2 linked regions of the Lonchura striata genome follow. The protein of the gene in region 1 interacts with the protein of each later gene in a biochemical or structural test. Links are inferred from orthologs where the notes say so. Each region holds a gene or a part of one and is shown in the gene's direction. Other genes may lie near its edges. The genes, in order: CD2 and CD58.

Region 1 (9,147 bases):
GACACCAGGGCACTTTTCTTGCTTCAGGGAGCAGCAGCAAGACTGTACTAACAGGTCATTCAGATGTTTCTGAGACATTTGCATCTTAATTTCCCAACAATAAGAGCCAAACCTCCTTATATGTATGCATAAGGCCACATTGTGGGCCTTTTGTTTTGCTTTCACAGGTCCACTGTCTAATAAATAAACTACAGACACTTGTAGAATCCAGAGTGATGTTTCGAGAGGCTTATGCAAGGTCTTCTAGGAGGAAGGACATTTTATGCCCACATACATGCCCCTCAGGGGCTGCACCAGTAGGAGAAATGCCAACAATGTCTTGTTTTTGAAGGGAAGACTTTCCTTTGTCTGTGGGAACTATATAAAGGCAACTCCTAGGAATAAATGCACTTAGTACTGAAATGTATTATCCAGTTGTTTGTGCTTGTCTCCTGCATCACTTCTCAACCTCCCACCTGCCCATTTCCAACAGTCCCTCACTCCTCTCTGAATTTATAGTACTGTAGTAGAACAAAATACTGTGCAAAACATCAGGTATACAAGCATTTATTAAGTTGATGGTTTCTGGGGAGTGTCAGATCTTGTCCAAAATATTACTTAGGTGGTAGCAACAACTTATCTTTCCTGGATATATTTTTAGGAGCAGCTGTTCTTCTATTATCCTTCTTGGGTAGCTAGTCCATCCACTCTCTCATGATGAAGGGGCACATTGTAGTTAATACAGGTCTTTGTGTATTTACCACTGCCAAGACTAGAAGAGGCTTTTATGGCCATTTATCCTGCTTCTGGTATAAGACAGATTGATTGCAGCATGCCAGCAAGCCAACACCTTTTGCAGCTTTAGTAATGTCACTGAATTTACTAGAACAAGATGCTGAAAGTTAGGTCCTAAATCTAAGGCCATTATAGATGATGGAAATCATCGGCAAGACTGAAATGCACCATCTGCAAGAATAACTGATGGGATGCTGCCATCTGCCCTAGCCTCAGTCATTGCTGTGATCCACAGACTGCTTGGTCTAAGGGGGTTATGTTCCTTCAGACCAGAAATAAAGGGTATTTTTTGTGAGGTTTGGCTGTTGACACATGCTTACAGCTGAAAAATAAGAAAATGTGGCTGAGAGAGAACACCTGGGGCTAAAGGTTTAACAGCATGAAGCTGTGTTGGGGTGGGGGGTTTAGGTTAGATATCAGGAAAAGGCCCTTCTCCTAGGGGCTTTTGGGGCTCTGGGATGGGCTCAGCAGGGAAGTGGTCACAACTCCAAGTCTGTCTGAGCTGAAGAATTGTTTGGACAATGCTTTTAGGCTCAGGGTGTGATTCTTGGGGCTGTCCTATTCAGGGACAGAAACTTGGTAATCTTTGTGGATCCCTTCCACCTCAGAATATTCTATGTGGCATTATGGACATTGCAGGGGAATCATGTCTCTTCAAATAATCAGGTGAGGACAATTCTGCATGATCATAGTTTGAAAATGTTAATTTACTTTTCTTGAGAGAAGGATGAAAAAATTTGTGCAGACAACTTTTTCAGTATCAGTATTTTCTGTGTGTGTGTCACTATTTCTGGAAGATTTTCATCGTGTCAGGCAACTAGGAGCTCTCAGCTCTGAGACACTGAGTCAGCATCCCTGCCAAATCCTTGGCTAAAGCTCTATTTTGAGTTATTGATCTTCATATTTCCATCACTTGATTCAAGCTGGAGTTTTTCTTTCTTGGCCCTGTGCAAGGCAGAAGGGAAGAGGAGGCAGGATGTGTCCTTCATCAGCCAAGTGGCTGAAACTCTACATGGGAGCCAGCAGTTCCCTGGCATTTCAGAGTGCAGGGCAATACCCCTTGCTAGGGCTCACTTTGCTTCTTCCTTGCTCCAGCCACTGCCCAAAATTCCTTCTGCATTGTAAAAAGCTACAGTAAAGGGGCATGTAAAGGAAGCCCTTAGCTGCCATCCAGGGCAACCCAGATGGAGCCCAGTCATGCAGGCCAGAATGCAAGATCAGGAGAGCTCCCAAGAATAAAGTTACCCTTCCCCAAAGCTTCCCCTCCACATATTACCTATCTGACACTCCAATTAAAATCACATTTACTCTTCTCCTCACACATTGTGCCTCATCAAAGGCCTGGTGAGAGATTTAGAGGTGTGAAAGTCCGGTGAGGCTCAGTGCAGGGTGTCTGACTCACATGCAAGTACCACTTACTATAACCAAAGTTTCATACAAGAGAAGATGGTACAAACTATCAGATGGGCTACAAATCTACTTTTTGTAGTCTTCATTTTCTAGTAGATCAAATAATTATATTTTTTATATTTTTTTTTTTTAATAAGCCTCGGGCATACATGTTTATTGGCTCATCACTAAGCCGAGAACTTGGAGCTGGGAACAGCTGCATATTATCTCTTGAGGTGTTGCCTTCAGATGTGGGGGGACTCTGTCACCTCCACAAGGAAATGTGAGTATGATACTTACATTCCCCGTGAGGAAACTGTATGCTGTCTTACAAAGAGCAGAAGTGTAAAGGAAAGAGCAAGCCACAAAAGCAAATGTATGAGTGCAGCGCGCTGTGGCTTCTGCAGTGGAAACAATGCTGCAGAGAGAGAGAGAGTGAGGATGTGCAAAGACACAGCCCATTGTTGTGGCTGTGCTCGGTCCTCTGCTCTCCTGTGTGTCAGAAGATGGGGATGTGTAGCAATGCAATGGGCTGAACAGGGCTCCAGCATCCTCAGCTTGATGCTAAGGACAGGCCTAACTGAACCAGGCCTAGCAGCACTGTGCTGGTACACATCTGCTTTTCTATCACTGCCCGGGTTTTCTAGCTGACTTTGTTTAATCCAGTGGTGTTACTTCCTGTGTGAATAGAGAGGGTGTCTGCAGCGAGGAGAAGCATGTGAGAGCACTGCTATCTACAGCTCACCTTGTCCTGCCCAGCACAGCTTGGGCCAGTGTCTGGCTGTGGCCACACAGAGCTCCAGCCACAGCTCTCTCTGTGCCACTCCCTCCACCTGGGAGGGCATTTATGGCTGGTGCAGGGGCTGCTCTGGCAGTGCTCTCTGCTGTAGCTGTTCTCAGGATGTTTATGCCATGCCACATCTCTGAAGGTACATGCTGGCTTCTAGATTTCCTCTGTGCCTGCAGCCCAGAGCTGCTGTTCTTTCCAGAGACACCTTCAGGCACTTTCTCCTCAGTGCCCTCTCTGGGGCTCTCCTTGAAGGGAAAACAGAGACATCAGTGCAACAACTTAGAGTGCTTTCTTCCAAGTAACATCCAAAAAAATCCTTCTTCTAAAATGGGGATCAAAGCCCAGTCAGGACTGCAGCAAGATGTTGCTTTGCTTTTCAAGAGGGAAGGCTAAAGCTGGCAGAATATTGACATTTCCCCACTTGTCATCGGGCAGGAAGACTGAGCTTAGAGACATGGGCTGCTTTGTCTTTCTCCAGCTAGGTCTGATGGTGCAAGAGGTTTCAGAGGCTGCTTAAAAAAGGGGCTGCTTTTGGGACAAGCCATTCCAGGATCTCATGGGGAATTCTTGCTGCAGGTAAGTGATGCAGGTTTGGCTGTGCTTGTGGCTTTTGTTACTCAAAATCTTGCAAGTGGATTTTGTGCATGTGCACCAAGTACTCAGGAATACCAAGGCCTGGTGTCACTTCTGTGGTGTCCAGTTACCATAGGACATCAGTCATTGAGCCCTCAGCTTTCCTCTCAAGTGCTTCTTCACTGCTCACAGTAAGGTCATTTTTGAACAGACAGTTTATATCCTTTATGAATGGGTTCTTGCTCCTGCCTACCTGTTGCTCCAACAGCAACCAGGATGTTTGGTGAGCTGGTTTGCTGGACTATAGGGGCCTTTGGTGTGACCCATTTCAGCTGTGAGTTTAGGAGATTGTGTGTGGCATGTGGGCAATGCCAAACTGATTAACTGGAGGCAGTGGTCTTCACTTTTACACCTGGCTCTACCACTAAGAAGCTTTGCCTGTCTTCTCTCTCTCACATTCACACAAGCACACATCTTTCCATTTGTATTTCATTTTTTCCATGACAATTCCCACCCCAGGGTGCTGGCAGTGTGAACATGCCAACAAACAGACAATGTGCAGGGGTACCCTGGAAGAAGGAGGTGGCTTTGAGAGATGTTTCCCTGAAAAAGAATGGAGACAAAGTTGAGCAGAGCATGGACAGTGTTTTCACCATGCTGGGCCTCCCTCTGCTCTGCTTGATGGATCCAGCAAAAAAGCCTCCAAAAAACTGAGGAGAAATCAGGGTTGATGCCTTTGCCCCAATTTTTTTGGGTGCTGGGGCTGGAAGCAGATGTGTCCAAGAGTTTAACACAGCTTGCTTGGCTGAGGAGATACCCAAATGTGGCAGTCCTTGCTCTCAGCTTGTTTCTTGCCACAGAGGGTGGAGGTCGGGCACAGAAATGTGATCTTGCTGCTGTTGCTTCCTCTCTCCTTTTGTGTATGCCTCCTTTGTGTGTTCTTTGGAAGGAAACAGTAGCAGAAAAAAGGAAGAAAAACTAGGTTTTCCTGCAGGGAGTGTTTTTTTTTTTTTTTTAACCTCATTAATACCAGTAAAAAATTATTAAGCTGGAGAAGGGGAGATGTCTTACAAGATCTTCCTTTAACCTCAAGGAAAAGGAATGACATGAACGAACAAGATTTATCTACTATTGTACAGTTCTAGTGCCACAGATTTTCTTTTGTCTTCTTTCTTGGCCTACATCCATGACAAAAAGCTGGAAGATTTCAGTGGCTGCTGAAGCAGAGGAATTATGCTGATGAGGGTAAGACTCAAAATCCTCACCACTCCATCTGTTTTGTATTGGAATCGGGAATAAGGACTTTATTAGATTCTCACATGATTTTGGACCTAGCTCCTCACAGCTTCTTTCCTTGCTGTCTTTCCCACATCAGCCAGCTTCGGAGCTGGTTTGTGGCTCGATCAAGGCAGCATTCTCACCCCCTTCCATGCTCATCCCTCTCACAGCTTGCTGGAGTGGCTGGCCCTGCCTGCAGGAAGCCTTTGTGCCTCTGGCCAGCCCTTCATACACCAGATGTTGATGCCAAGCTGATCCTGATGGTTTCCAAGGGAAGTGTGTCTCCTTTTCAAGTGTTGTCCAACAGCCACCTGCTCCTCTCTGGGGCTCCTGGGCTTGCTCTCCCCTTGCTGCTGCTGAGGCTGTGGGGGAGAATTAGGATTCCTATCACTCCCCCACCCAAAAACTGCATCCCTCCCACTAGGATGGTGGCATGTGGGTGCTGGAACTGAGCTCTTCAGGTGAGCATTGAGGAGGACAAGGGCCCTATCTCTCCCTCCAGCTGGGTGGACAAACCTCCAGGGCATTTCCTGCATTTTAGTGCCCATTTTCTTTGTGTCTCCATGTTGCCTCCATGCAGACAAAACACTCTGTTGGGGCTTATTTCCGCCTCTGCTAGAAATGAGAAGTGCTGGAGGAGAGGAGGAGGGCACAAAGGCTGTGCCGACATGTCCCATCACTGCTTGCTCACAGCAGAAAACCTTCTCACCTGCCAGGAGCTATCACTAGACAAGGCAACACTGGATGTTTTTTGACCCTGAAAATGAACTTTAGGAGGATTTTCCTAGTCAAGTGCTTGCTGCTTTTATTTCCCACTGTAAAATGTGAGTTTTTCTTACAGTTTTTTTTTTTTTCTCTTTTGGACTGATGTTAAAATTGTATTTTAAAGCATTTACAACTTGGTGGGCTGCTACTGATAAGAAACTTGTTCCACTTTTCCAATGAGTGAAGACATCTGGGTTATTGCTATTATTATTTGATTTAATTTTCAGCCAGGGGGAGGGCAGGACCTGAGTTTCCTATTCCAGTTATAATAATAAGCTGTAAAGAGTTTTGGTTTTAAGTTAATGAGCCTTAATTTGACACATGTGTAATGAGAAATGTCAGCATACAGTTTGCTTTCTGCCCTTGAGGCAGCTTGTACTACATTAGAGATCCAGTTCACTGTGCATTATCGCATATAATTTCCTTTTCTTATCAAAGATGTGCAAATCTTTTGAAAGTACAATTTATATTCTTCCATAAATATTAAAAGAGTGATATATTTCAGTGTCCTCAGTGGAGCTGGAGTTTAAGATGTGAAAACAGCAAGCAACTACATATATTTTTTATATTTTGCATATTATTGTTCTCATTATTTTTTAAAATATTAATCTAAAAACTTAATTAAGGTGTTAACTCATAGATTAGAGAAGGTTTTAAGAGATGGAGACAATACAAGCCTGCATAATTTTTTTCCCCTCGGTTTCATTCCACTAAGTTTGCATGTATGACTGTTTAATGCTATGCTTTTCCTTCAGAACAAAATTAATAGATAAATAAGGATTTCTTCTTTTTACGTACACAATCTATAAAACATCTTCTCTAGCAGAAATAAGGATTATTTCCTTGAATGGAAAATTGTTTCAGAGACTTCCTTCTCTAAAATTACTATGGGAGCTTTTTCTTTTAACTCTTTCTTGTGACTGTGAGTGAGCTGTAGTCTCTCAGTTAAAGCCTTTCTGCCCCTTGGAGCACATTTTAGTTGGCATTTTTATCAGATGTGTTGTTTCATTAGCGAAACAGATTTTTAGTATCATACGTGTGGGATACTCAGCTTTCCACTAGAAAGACTGTGGAGATCAGATCAATATCTAGAGATGCCTCTGGTCCACAGAGATGCCATTGAATTATCCTTGAAAACTCAGATTACTTTCTTTCTTTACTTCCAGAGAGAAAATCTAAGTAGTGTCTGTTATGCAAAGAAATCCTATTACTATCTCTAAATACTTGTTCATGACTGAGCAGAAGCAAGTATCAGAATTCAAATATCTGGGTATAACATGTAGTGTCATCTGTGTGGGGCATAGCTGCTTCTAAGGCTGTTTAGCTGATAGCTTTATTTCAGGACATTTCATTAGATATATCGAATACCTTGCAAGAAAGGCAATGCTGAAAGAACAACCTCTCTTTAGAGGTGGTGAATTGCCAGAAGCACTACAGCATTAATGTTCTTGTTCAGAGGCATGCTATTTTAGTTCTCTGATTATCTTTAATATTGTTAGTTTAATGAAATAGCCACTGGGTTTCAGTTTCCCCTCTGTGGTGCCATTTATCATTATCCTAGATACAAGGAGTGAAGGACTGTAATAAAAATATGCATAAACACAGGTTTATTCTCTCTGTGGGGAAAAAAGTACTTAAAATACATAAAATTAGGGCAGAATCAGCTCTGTTGATGGGAAGGGAAATCTCCTCCTGCTGATTGGCTTCACCCTGTAAATTGAGGAGGAATGAACACGATAAAATGACAAACTAAATAAGCTGTGGCTCTGGGTGAGCTTATCCCACTTGACAATTGCACACAGATTTCGCCCTCCTCCTGCAGGTTTGTCCACCTGCCACGGGGCTGGGGACAGTTCCTTACTTGAAATGACCTCCCAGCAAAGTTTCCCAAGTCCTGGCTCACCAGAAATGGGGCCTGCAGAGACGGTGGCTGAAGCAGCCTGGAGCAGGCAGAGCACCCGGGCACTGCTCCAGGAGTTCATCCTCCCACTACTGGAAATACAGAGGATGTTTAGTGAATATCCCCTTTGGCAGCCCCATGCTCAGGTGCTTCTCAGTCCTGACACTCCCTTTGGGAAGCTCCTATTCTTCTCTGTTCTGGAGAAGGGACCTGGAATCAAAGGAAGAGAAGATTTTTGAGGTTTGTTTTGGCAGTAGCTTTTCTTGTAATGACTCCTGCAGCCCTTCAGTTGACAGGATGCTGGTGGCTGTGTCTTCCTGCCTTACCTGCCCCATCAGGATCCCATGCTAGAAAAATCAAGTGGATACATTCCAGTGGGGCAGAGTAACTGGGATAGGAGGCAGGGGGGGCATTGCTGTGGGTGTGCCTCCAGTTCAACGCCTTACACTCACAGCTTGAAATGGGCTACCACTATTATCATCATTGCTGTCACTGGGGTGGCTGAAATGATTCTGCTGTTCAGGGCTGTGACTATTTTTGCTGTCTGCAGTAATGCTTGCAGTGATGGGCTCTCTGGGTGCCAGCCTGTGCCATGTGCAAAACACAGAAGGGACCTTCTTTTCAGGAAGGGCTAAGTTCATGTTAAACTGAATGGGAGGCCATGAATCTTGGCATCCAGAGTCACTCCAAGTAAGTCAGCCAAGGTATAAATTCAGCTTTTGAAAGCTGGGCTCTTAGCTTTCTTGCCTCTCAGAATTAAATTGGATGCTGGCATTTATCTAAAGAACAATCAAGAAATATTTTGGAGTAGGGGAAGAAGATGGCATCAGTGAAGCAGAGGGGCTTAGGCAGCTCAGGAAAGGGTGGCATAGCAAATGACAGCCTTTTGGGTGGCTGCTGGAGACAACTGAGGGGCTGGCTGTGCTTCCCTCGACAGGCATCAGCACCAGCTGGATTTACAAGGCAGTGAATGAGACAGCTCTTCTCAGCATCACTGCTCCTGGGAACATCTATGAGGCAACATGGACTAGAGGGGGACAAAGGCTGGTTCAGATCAAAGATAACAAAACTAAGCACTTTGTGAACAAGGAGCAGTGCAGGTGTGCCATACTCCGGAATGGGACTCTGCAAATCCAGCGCGTGGAGAAAGCGGACAGTGGAAACTACACGGTGATGGTTTATCAGAAGGATGGAAAACTGAAGGCGGAAGAAAATGTCATATTCTTTGTTCAGGGTGAGTTTTTGCTTTTCCAATACCATGCCCATGACTGCTGAACAGGACTTGCTATTGTCTGCTCTCTCCCACAGCCCTCCTTTCTGATGAGGAAGGGGTGACTTCTGTAGGACATACCTTTTTCTTCCTGCCTCTGACAGCAGCCTGCCTCTCTTCTCCCTTCTCTTGCTCTGATTGATGGCCTCAAATCCCTGGCTTCTTTATGGCTCCCCTGTTTGTCAGCCAACAGGTTTCCAGCTGTGCCCAAGAAAGCAGCTGGGAACAGGTTCACACTGACAGCAGGGTGGGGGTGGTCAGTCCTACTGCAGCACCACAAACAGTGCTAAGACCCTAAGCTGGGGTGGGACCCTGAGAGGGGACTGGGCCCCCAGCAGCATCCTGCTTCCAGAAACCTCTGTTAGGACCACAGCAGCCTATGGGGTACAGTTGTGGCTGATGCACTGT
Region 2 (9,753 bases), about 13 Mb from region 1:
ACTGTAGATGTGATCTCTAAGGCAGTCTCATTGACAGTACAATTCAAGAAAGAAATGGAAGTGTGGCATTTGTTTATTTTTCTCTCAGCTACTGCAGATCACACTTGCTGACCTTTTGAAGCAATGTGGCAAAGATGCCACTGCCAGAGGCCAAGTGGTCCCTTTTCTGCATCCTTACTCTTCAGGTAAACCTGGATCATTCTTGGAAATCAGGTTAATGGAATTAAATCACTGAGGGTGATTGAATCGAAGCATAAGAGAAGAAAGGACAATTCTTGCACCACTTTTTCTCCCCAGAACATAAAAAGGTTATTGCCAGGACCTATTGACATACAGCTTGTTTAGGGAGAACTGAATTCAGATCCTTCTCTGTAAAACCTTCAATCCCTTGCCAGGCAGTCATGTTTTTCTTACCTGTTTGTGCTGAGCTGGGCAGCAAGAGGAGAGCAAGAACCATGAGCAGTTTTCTCTTCGGATCTTCAACCATCTTCCTGTTTGCCCAATACAAGAATAAGGATTGTACAGAGGAAAACCAGCTGTGGTTAATGATCAGCTTGACTCTGTAATGATCAATCAGTCTGTGCACTTTTGGGAAAATGACCTAATTCGGATTTTAAGCAATTACCTCTCCTCTTATTTTACCATTAGTCAAAATCTGAAGCAGAGGCTTCAATGACTTTTTGGTTAAAGGAGATGTTGACCTTCCTTTCCTCTCTACCTCCCTTTCCTCAAGGGAAACTTCTCACTTCAGAAATCAGGCAGTGAAACCAGTTCCAGCAAGTGATAGAGTTACAGTGCTTTATCCTTGCTACCTAGACCTTTCTGCCAAACTCTGACTAGGGATGCTGGTTTATCACAAGGCTTCACAGTAAGTCCATGCCAGGAAGATTCATATCAGCCTTGCATCGTATTTTCCTACTGCATTGCTGTCTTTCCTGTATTTCTGCTTTTGGTCAGATACCTGTAACAGTCTAAAAAAGGCGAAACAGTGGATTACATCTGAAAAGCCAGGGGAAAGGCAGGCTAAAATGCAACTGGTGGTCATATCACCATAACATGCCCAGACTACATTTCTTAGGGTGGGGGCACCCTTCAGTAATGCACCAGCATCATAAGCATGCAAATACTTAACAAAGGCCTTTGAATAAAAAACTTTACCACTTTAATGTATCCAGATGGAGAAGCATAAATGCACACCCAGATGTGCAACATGACACCGATGATGAGGTACCATATTCCTGGCTGAGATGGACTTTCAGGTAAGGACACACCTGTATCCTCTGTGTTGGTCCATCGTGCTGGACAAGGCAGCTTTGCCCTTGGCTGTGCTAAATGGCAGGAAGGGTAATGAGCAAAGTAAAGTTCCCTGTCCGGGTACTAATCTACAGTGGCTTAGTTGAACAACCAAATTAAGAAATTTCTTCAGTCTGATCAGGAAGATGACCAAAGATATTTCAAAAAGCATCAGACACTACTTTTCTTTAGAACTATTGGTGATAGCAGTAATTTCCTTACCCCAAGTTTGTTTCAGCTGAAGGCTTTGGTGCTGTTTTAAGCAGAAGTTCATTTTATTTCCAAATCTTCAGAGATAAATTTCTCTGGTTTTCACTGAAAGGCAGCCTTAGCTGCCTGGCCTGGAGGACTATTGAACCCCACCCCAACTGCATCCTCTCAGATATACATACTGAGATACCTTCTGACCCTGAAGTACTTGCCTCCAGGATCAAGCTGGCTTATTGTCAGAGAAGCAGGTCCTCAGTGTCTCACAAATATATGCCCGAGTTTGTCAGCCCAGTCAGTTTTCCAAGACTGAAAACTGCAATGCCAATAGCCATCTCCTGGCTTCCAGCCCATGCTTCATCTTTCCATCCCCAGCACCAGATTCATCTTGTTTTATCTTACAATTCTTAGATTGTAAGATAAAGCCTGTGCACTCCAACAGGCCCATTCCTTCTTTGCCAAGTCCTATGGAAATTTTGAAATGCCATGTAATATAAAGAGGCACCATTATTACAGCCTTATAGTTAAACAAAACTTTAGCCAAGATTTGCAGATTTGGTTTTATTTTGTGCATTTGCAGAGTTGTTAAACAACATCCTGGTGTTTAACAATATTGCAAATGCACAAAACTGGTGTTTTTTAAAAAATAAATGTCTTTTAAGTTGTCTACTAAATCTGAATTCTCAGTTTAATGAATTCCTGGATTTTTCTTATTATAGCAGCACACCATGGCAATTCCTTATGCAAACAGCAAAAGCCACTCAAGTTACTCTGTGCTTAAAATGCTTTTACTAAGTAAAGCTATTTTGATATAAAGGGTTTTCTTCTTATTGCTTGTGAACTTAATTGCAGAGTAATTACAGTTATATTAATTCAGAAACTTAATGCCACTTATTTTGCTTCCCAAAGGGAGTGATTATAATGACAATGGGAGCACTGTTGCAAAGACTTCCAAACCACTTTCTTTTAACAGTCCCTTACAGAGAAGTCATGAAGCACAGTGTGATTTTCTTGAGAATGTCAGGGATAGTGAAAGCAAAAAACCTTGATTTAGTGCACAAATTCTTTTAATTAAAAAGAAAATTTTAAAAATGTGCTGACTGCACATTCAAGCCAATGCTGAAAAGTGTCCAACTCAGCTGAAAGTGTCGAGTCTCCTCTCACAAAGCAACAGCTGGCAGAGGCATATAAGCACTGCAAATAGCCAATGGTCAAGTGGAAATCTGATCACAGGAAAATTCACTTGGCCTGAAAAACTAATTTTTGATACTAGAAAAAATGCATTTGGGGTAGCAGCACCAGACCTTGGGGGAAACCATGTGTGAGCTAAGCAAATGATGACTATTTAAAACCTCTCCCTGTGGAGAGGTTTGCATTCAAAGAAGGGCATGAAATACACCCAGAGCTTATCTCACTGTTCATTAAGTTCTGGATCCTCCTTACTGCTGAAATACTTGGTCTCAGAGCTCCTGTATTTTCTATCATTTGCCTGTGAAGTAGAAACCATGGTTCTGTGTTAAGCATGCAGACGCCTGTGTATTGTTTCCAAGACTGACAGAGGAACCAGGATTAGTTCTCATCTCAACAAAAAAGCAATTTGACCTTCCTGCTTTCAGAGGTGTGTCTTAGCAATGACAGAGCAGGAAGTAAACGTCAAAGATTTTCTTGGCAACTGAGGAAGGGAAAACAGGGGCAAGTCTGCTTGGGTACTCTGTCAGGAAAGGAGGAAAAACAGCCATCTGAGCCTTTTTTGAGTACTTCCTGGATCTTCCACCTGGTATGCCTGTATAAGTATGCATAAGGAAGATATATCCTTACCATGTACTACCAAGTAGAAGAGCCTAGTTGAGGGCACCAGTCTCCAGTTCAAGTTTCTCTCTGTTTCTCTGCTCTATAAAGCCATAAATCATCTTGTACAATGTGGAGCAGCTCAGTAGGAAGAACGCAGGCCTGCCTTAAGTGCATGTGGATGACGACCTGTGTTCCTTCCATCCTAAAATAACCTGTTTCAAAGTGAAACTGTCTGCTTCCGATTTCTCTCTCCCAACCTCAAAGATTTTGTGCCCTACAGGAAAGCTGCAGTGTGCAACAAGATTCAATCCAAAGCCTCTGGCATCTTGAGAGGACACTTTACCTGACAAGAGGACGAGAACATGTGCTCCTGCCATGAGAGTGCTGCAGGAAGATGGCCATGTTATATTTCTGGTGTAAACACTGTGACTTGGAGGCTTTACAGGGTAGGGATCTCCCTTTGACACTTGTCGGAGATTAAGAACACAGGGGACAAAGGTTACCGAGGGACAGAAAGGCTCCAAGCTGTCACTGAGCAGAAGGAATTTATGGGATGTGCCTGTCTCTGTTTGTGAGTTACATGTCATGGCATTACAACAGAGCTATGGAGATAGAATCAGTATTATTCTGTTTTAGTAAGAACTGAATGAGACAGCATTACTCGGCTCAAGATGCAGTGTCATTCCAGCTCATGGTGCAGCCTTCAGTGATGAGTCAAAGGAGCTTAGAGTAGCTTCTAGAAGGAGGGGAAAAGAATCCCTCAGTATTTACTCTGCTAGGACCTCTGTTTAGAGATATCCATGGCTGCCAATTATTTTTCTGATTGTGTTGTGTGAAGTGCAAAGCTGAAGTCTCTCAAAGGATGGTAAATAGCCCGACATGGCTGCTCGTCAGTGAGTGTGGGAGCCAAGTGTACTGGGAGAAATCTGACTGAGAGATAAACCTGTGGTGAGAACCTCCCTCACAGCACTGTGCTGGTGTTCTCCAGGACAGACAGACAAGCTGCTGGGAGCTGAGCATGCTTTGGGGCTCTAAGGTCTGCAGCTGGACTCTTCTCAGCTGGGGCAATGCACTGGGGAGTGGGATGCAGGCAAAGAAGGTTTGAAACATCCACTCAGAGCAACTCACTGCCATGAGAGGAACGCTCACTCACAGCTGCCACTGGAATATTTGTCAGAGTAGCAATTTTTCAATAGCTGCTATATACTTACATTTTCCCGACTGTTGTGGTTTTCCCTTTCTTCCTCAAAAACACTCAGCAGTGTCAAGAGATCGGTCATTCATGAAAGAGAATCTAAGTGTGTTTGAGTTTTGTGAATGGGCTGCTCAGCAGCTGGTGTCAAAGAAAACCTCTTGAAGTCAGAGTTGGTTTCTGTTCTATTTCTTTTCCTTCACTCCCCTTCCCCAGAGATCAACCTCACCTTGGGTGGAACAGGAGAGCATAGCCAGTCTTAGCCTTGAGCCCACTCCTCAAAAGGAGATATTTCCAGGTGTCCCTCGAAGAGAACAGTGGACATTTTTGTGAGCACAAATGTCAAACACCAGGAGGCTCCAGGGAGTAAAAGGGGCTGGGGCTGTCCCTGCCCATGGCAGAGGGGTTGCAGCTGACCCAAACTATTCCGTGATCATTTTCGGAGGTGGTGAGCTGCGTGCCACCTGCTGAAATTCATTCTTCACCTAATCTGCGTGGCTCCCACTCCCCATAAACCGATTCACTTTCAGGTTTTTAGTTAGCTGAACCTCCCCGAGGTAAGAGCAACGCGACAACTTCCGTCGCCAGAAGTCGCGCCCACAAACCACAAACGCCCTTCGCTGGCACTCCAAGGCCATGTATGGCATCCGACGCGGCACAGGAGCCGCAGCCCCCGCTCCTCACCGCCCGCAGCTCCCAGCCGCAGCGCTCAGGGCGGCCGCCCAGCGGAAGCTGCCGCCGGCTGTGGGCGGGACGGGGCGCGGCCGGCCGCCGGCGCTCGCTCTGCCTCAGCAGCGGTGTGCGGGCATCCATGTGGCGGCTGGCTTCGCTCCTGTGCCTTTCGCCCCTCCTGGGTAAGCTGGGAGAGCGCGGTGGGGACCCTTCCCGGCTCCTTCGCTTTTCTTCCTCCCTCCCTCGCTCCCTCCCTCGCTCCCTCCGTGCCGCCCGGGACAGCGGGAGCGGGGCACCCCCGGGCGTTCGGACGCGCTTGCTCCGGGGCAGGGGTTCGGGAGGGCCGGGAGCTGCCCCAGCCGCCGGCAGCCCCTGAGGAGCCCTGCGACAGCGGCTGCCTGGCGGGACGGGCGTCCCCGCCGCTCGCTGCCTGCCCAGGGGCGGCGGGCACAACCGAGCCGCTGCTTCCGTCCCCCGCCTAAAACCAGAGCTGTGTGTCAGCCTGTGCACCGGCCGGCTGCCCCGGAGCTGTGTGTCAGCCTGTGCACCGGCCGGCTGCACCTTCAGGAGCTCCCCTCCCTAGTGGCGGCAGGCTTCTGCGCCCCGTTAGTTTCAAACTTGTGTTAACGGGAAGCTTGGAGTGTGGGCGATTTTTGGGGTATAAGTCAATTATTACTATTAACTTAAATGATAGCTATTAACAAGTAATGATTACTGTTGAAATTGTAGTCAAAGGCCTTCTAAATGCCACCACTGTGCCATAGGAGCATAATCCTTGCACTGGGCTGTGAACATGAGAAAAAAGCATGATTTAATGTATGAAGACCTTATCATGTATAATGGATTTCTTCTGACTTTCGGTTTTTTGGTTTGTTTTTTTTTTTTTTTTTCTGCTTTGGGAGTTTCCTGAATGTGCCTAAAATAGGAGCTATTGTATCCCCCTGTTTAAAAAGGAACTTCTCTGCTGCTCAGAGCAACTCCCTGCAATTTCCTCCTCATACCATTCCTGAGGTCTTCAGTTTGCTTTATTTAATTGATATGGAGAGATCCTGTTCTGTAAGAGAGTACTGTGGTCCCTGTGTGCAGGGAGGACCGGTGGAGAAGCCGGGACACCGTGCACCTGCACGAGTCTGCCCATGATAAGCCTTAGCTGCAATTTCTTACCTCACCTTTTGCTGAGAGTTCTAAATGAGTGTGACTAGGGCATGATTAACTGAGTATCTTCCTGTAACTTCTTTTGTGAGTGGGAGCACTTTGTTACCTTGCATTATGTAAGCTGGCATGCTGCTGCTACTCTGCACATCTCAGTCCACATGCTATAGATTGGCCTAGAGAAAAAAGATTCCAGATTCCAAAGAACTTACAGTTGAAAGGAAGAGGTGATGGTGCTTGGACAGCTGGAGAGGGTAATTGTGGCTACAAGTATTATAACATCCTCCTCTAAGGAAAAACGTAGCTAGTTCTGTTGTCTTCTCTGTAAAACTTTGATTCTAAAGTGGTTGATTAGGGCAGGAGATCGGGAATGCAAACACTTTACTGTTCACTAAACTGTATAGCTGCGGTTTCACACCATGTTCTTGTTTATATGCTTGCATTATTGCTGTTACATGTATGTTGACTATGTGTAAATGTTTCATGTTAATTTTAACAAAATAATCCATCATCTCTCTTTGTGAAAATCAAGACCCTGAAAGTCAGACTGATCTGCCCAAGTGCATGAAGTAAATCAGTAGCAGTTCAATTTGGCATGTCAGTTTCTAGCCATGCAAACACCTGTTCTGTACACCAGGATGCTGTTGATAGATCCTTGTCCTTTTGTCAGCCTTCCCCTCCAGGATCTTTTCTCCATCCAGATTCAAAGCACTGCAGTTATCCCAGTCACACTTCTGAATGTCTGGAGTAGGGGAGAAGATGTCCCTCTTCATTCCCTTGTGGAAGCCAGGATTTGCAGTGTAGCTTTGGTGTCCAGAGTTCCTCCTTGCCACGTCAGGATTCCTGCTTTTCACAGTGTCAGGCCAAATCAGTTTTTTATCTGATGAAACCTTAGACTTGTCAATTACAGCACAAAACCTCACCTCAAGGCTATCGAAGGACTTTCATTTTAGACCTACCAAGAGCATGCTTGTTCAGTTGTTAGAAGTTCAAGACAAAGCTCTGTTCAGATTTAGGATCCTGGATATTGTATGTGGCTGGAAGGAAAGTCAGTGTGGTATCTGTGGCCTAGTTTGGTGAAGGAACAAAGAGAGAGATCTTTTTGTCCTCCCTGTGGAGGAGGTGAATAAATAATACCACACCAACAGGGGGATCACAGTGCAAGCCACACTGGTGAGGATGTTCTATTGCAATGCAGATGGTGACCAAACTTGCTTTAGCTGCATCAAGATCCTGCCCCAAAAGCAGAGGGGATATAGGAAGTAAGCTGGATATGTGAACTAGAGCATCTAGCAGCATCCTGCATCTGTAGTAAGGCTCATCTGAAAGCCACACACCTCTTTCAGTGTTCTGTGCATCAACTCTTTTTTTATGCAGTATTAGTTCTTGCCTTCTAGTTCTTGCATATTTAGATATGTTCCCTAATGCCATTTTCATTGTATGTTTGCATTAATGGTTGCTTTCTCAATTTAACTTCTTTATAAAAATTGAGCTAAACTGAGAAAACCTGGTTCACTAAAAGCAGAAGTTGCCATCTCCAGTACTGAGCATAGACTGACAATCTGAGAGTTGATAAAAATTATTTTTCTTTCAGACTTCTTCTGAAAGTGACCAGCATAGAAACCAAATTCCCTCAATGTGGATTTTTGTGTCTATGTCATTAGGCAGTTCAACAAGTTTGGGCTTGCTGGTTTTTTTCTTACTATTTTTAAATTTCCTGTCTTTTTTTTTTTTTCCTCTGTACACACAAATATATGCTCCTTTCTGCATTTTTATAGATCAGAAAAACACTGGGGTTGCTCAATGTTTCTTCTGTGTCTCTCCATTCCATGAGAGGTGCCATAGGAACTACACTACAAGGCATTGCGATGAATGTGGGAAAATCTGGACTCCTTACAAATTCAGGTTGTTTGTGGAATGTCGTTATTTTGTGTGTTGCTACTAGAAATGTCAAACACAATATTAAATAGTATAAATGGAAAAATCAGTTATCAGCACTGTGAAGCTGTCACGTGCTTATGTTGTCCTGTCCCCTTACTCTTGAATCTTCCTGAATAAACAGAGGAATTATAATCAGTTATAAATTCCTCACACAGAGGGAAAAAAAAAGTCAAACTAAACCTTTGCCCTCTGCTTAAAAACTCTTGATGAGAGCTGAGGTTGTTATGTCATATTAAAACAAAAATGAAACAATATTTTTGCCATTGCTATTTAACACTACAGAATGAACAGAGTGAATTTTTTGTCAGATAGTTTCTTGCCTTGATGTAATTAATGGTCTTATACTTTAGAAAGCCAAGATTATCTCTGGATTACATCCACAGACTCCTTTGATCCTGGGTGTGTTAAAGGTTTTCATTAAAAATGGGTGTAAGTTTGTTTATTTTTGTTTTTTTCCTTACTGTTTCTCCTATCTGTTCTCAGCCTCAGGAGAGCTTTTTGGCCATGTTCAGGGTAGTGTGACAGTGGGCTGGCTGGCTGATACAGGGTTTGTAAGAGACAGAGGTTGTAATTTGGAGTCTGTTTAAGCCGGTGTTGCCACAGGTTGAGAACAGTTCCTGTCCATGGCATCAGTTTCTACTTTATAAGTAGAACTGCAAAGATGATCTGTCTGAAAATGAACACGACTGAAGGAAAGAGTTAGCAAGACAGATTATTTTCTTAGTGCTGTTGATCACAGAGCCTACATGAAGATGTACTTGTACAGCATAGGAAGTGACCAGAGGATTTGGAATAAGTGACCAGAGTATTTGGAATCATAGAATGATTTGAGTTGGACGAGACCATAATGATCATCCAGTTCTAACCCTCTGCCATGGGTAGGGACATCTTCCACTAGACCAGATTGCTCAGAATGCCATCCAGACTGGCCTCGAACACTGCCAGGGATGGGGCATCCATTCTCTGGGCAACATGGTCCAGTGTCTCTGGACTACTTTCAAACAACTGCTTTTTTTTTTATAGTTCAAGGCAGGCTTAAATGCAAGTCAGTTCTGTCCCTAAGAAAAGCCTAGAGACTGTAATAATCAGTAATCTGCAGCACTCAATGATCCTTCATAATATTTTACCAGTGCTAAAAGTGGTGATTCCCAGTCCTCTCCCTCCCTGGCCTGTTCCAGTGCCCAACCACCCTCTGGGTGAAGAACCTTTTTCTAATATCCAACCTAAGCCTCTCCTGACCAGCTTCAGGCCGTTATTTTGGGTCCTGTCACTGGTCATCACAGAGGATACATCAGTGCCTGCCCCTCCTCCATGCTCTCACTCTTGTTCTTCCGTGTTTTGCTCACATCTGCTCCATTCCATGCACGAGCACTGGTGTTCCCACTGTGAGTCACATCCAGAAACTGCAGTCCTTCTGTGTTTTTTTGTTGTTTCTTTAGTTGGAGTGGGGATGTGTGTGAAGGACAACATGTCAGCAGATTGTACTCTCTGCATGCCTGTTCCAC

The links.
Region 2: the proteins of CD2 (region 1) and CD58 form a complex in vitro, tested with the Homo sapiens proteins (3 studies listed by BioGRID and IntAct, with this or other methods). The link is inferred for Lonchura striata from reciprocal best matches to the Homo sapiens genes CD2 and CD58.

Annotation. Positions count from the first base shown.
Region 1 is NC_134604.1:14,703,115-14,712,261, reverse strand, and holds the start of CD2 (T-cell surface antigen CD2), read left to right. Parts: upstream 1-5,472; 5' UTR 5,473-5,567; coding exon 5,568-5,628; intron 5,629-8,406; coding exon 8,407-8,703; intron 8,704-9,147. UniProt on the Homo sapiens protein: CD2 interacts with lymphocyte function-associated antigen CD58 (LFA-3) and CD48/BCM1 to mediate adhesion between T-cells and other cell types. CD2 is implicated in the triggering of T-cells, the cytoplasmic domain is implicated in the signaling function.
Region 2 is NC_134604.1:27,290,728-27,300,480, reverse strand, and holds the start of CD58 (lymphocyte function-associated antigen 3), read left to right. Parts: upstream 1-5,243; 5' UTR 5,244-5,294; coding exon 5,295-5,337; intron 5,338-9,753. Other genes in the region: PLA1A (phospholipase A1 member A), read right to left, coding at 415-487. UniProt on the Homo sapiens protein: Ligand of the T-lymphocyte CD2 glycoprotein.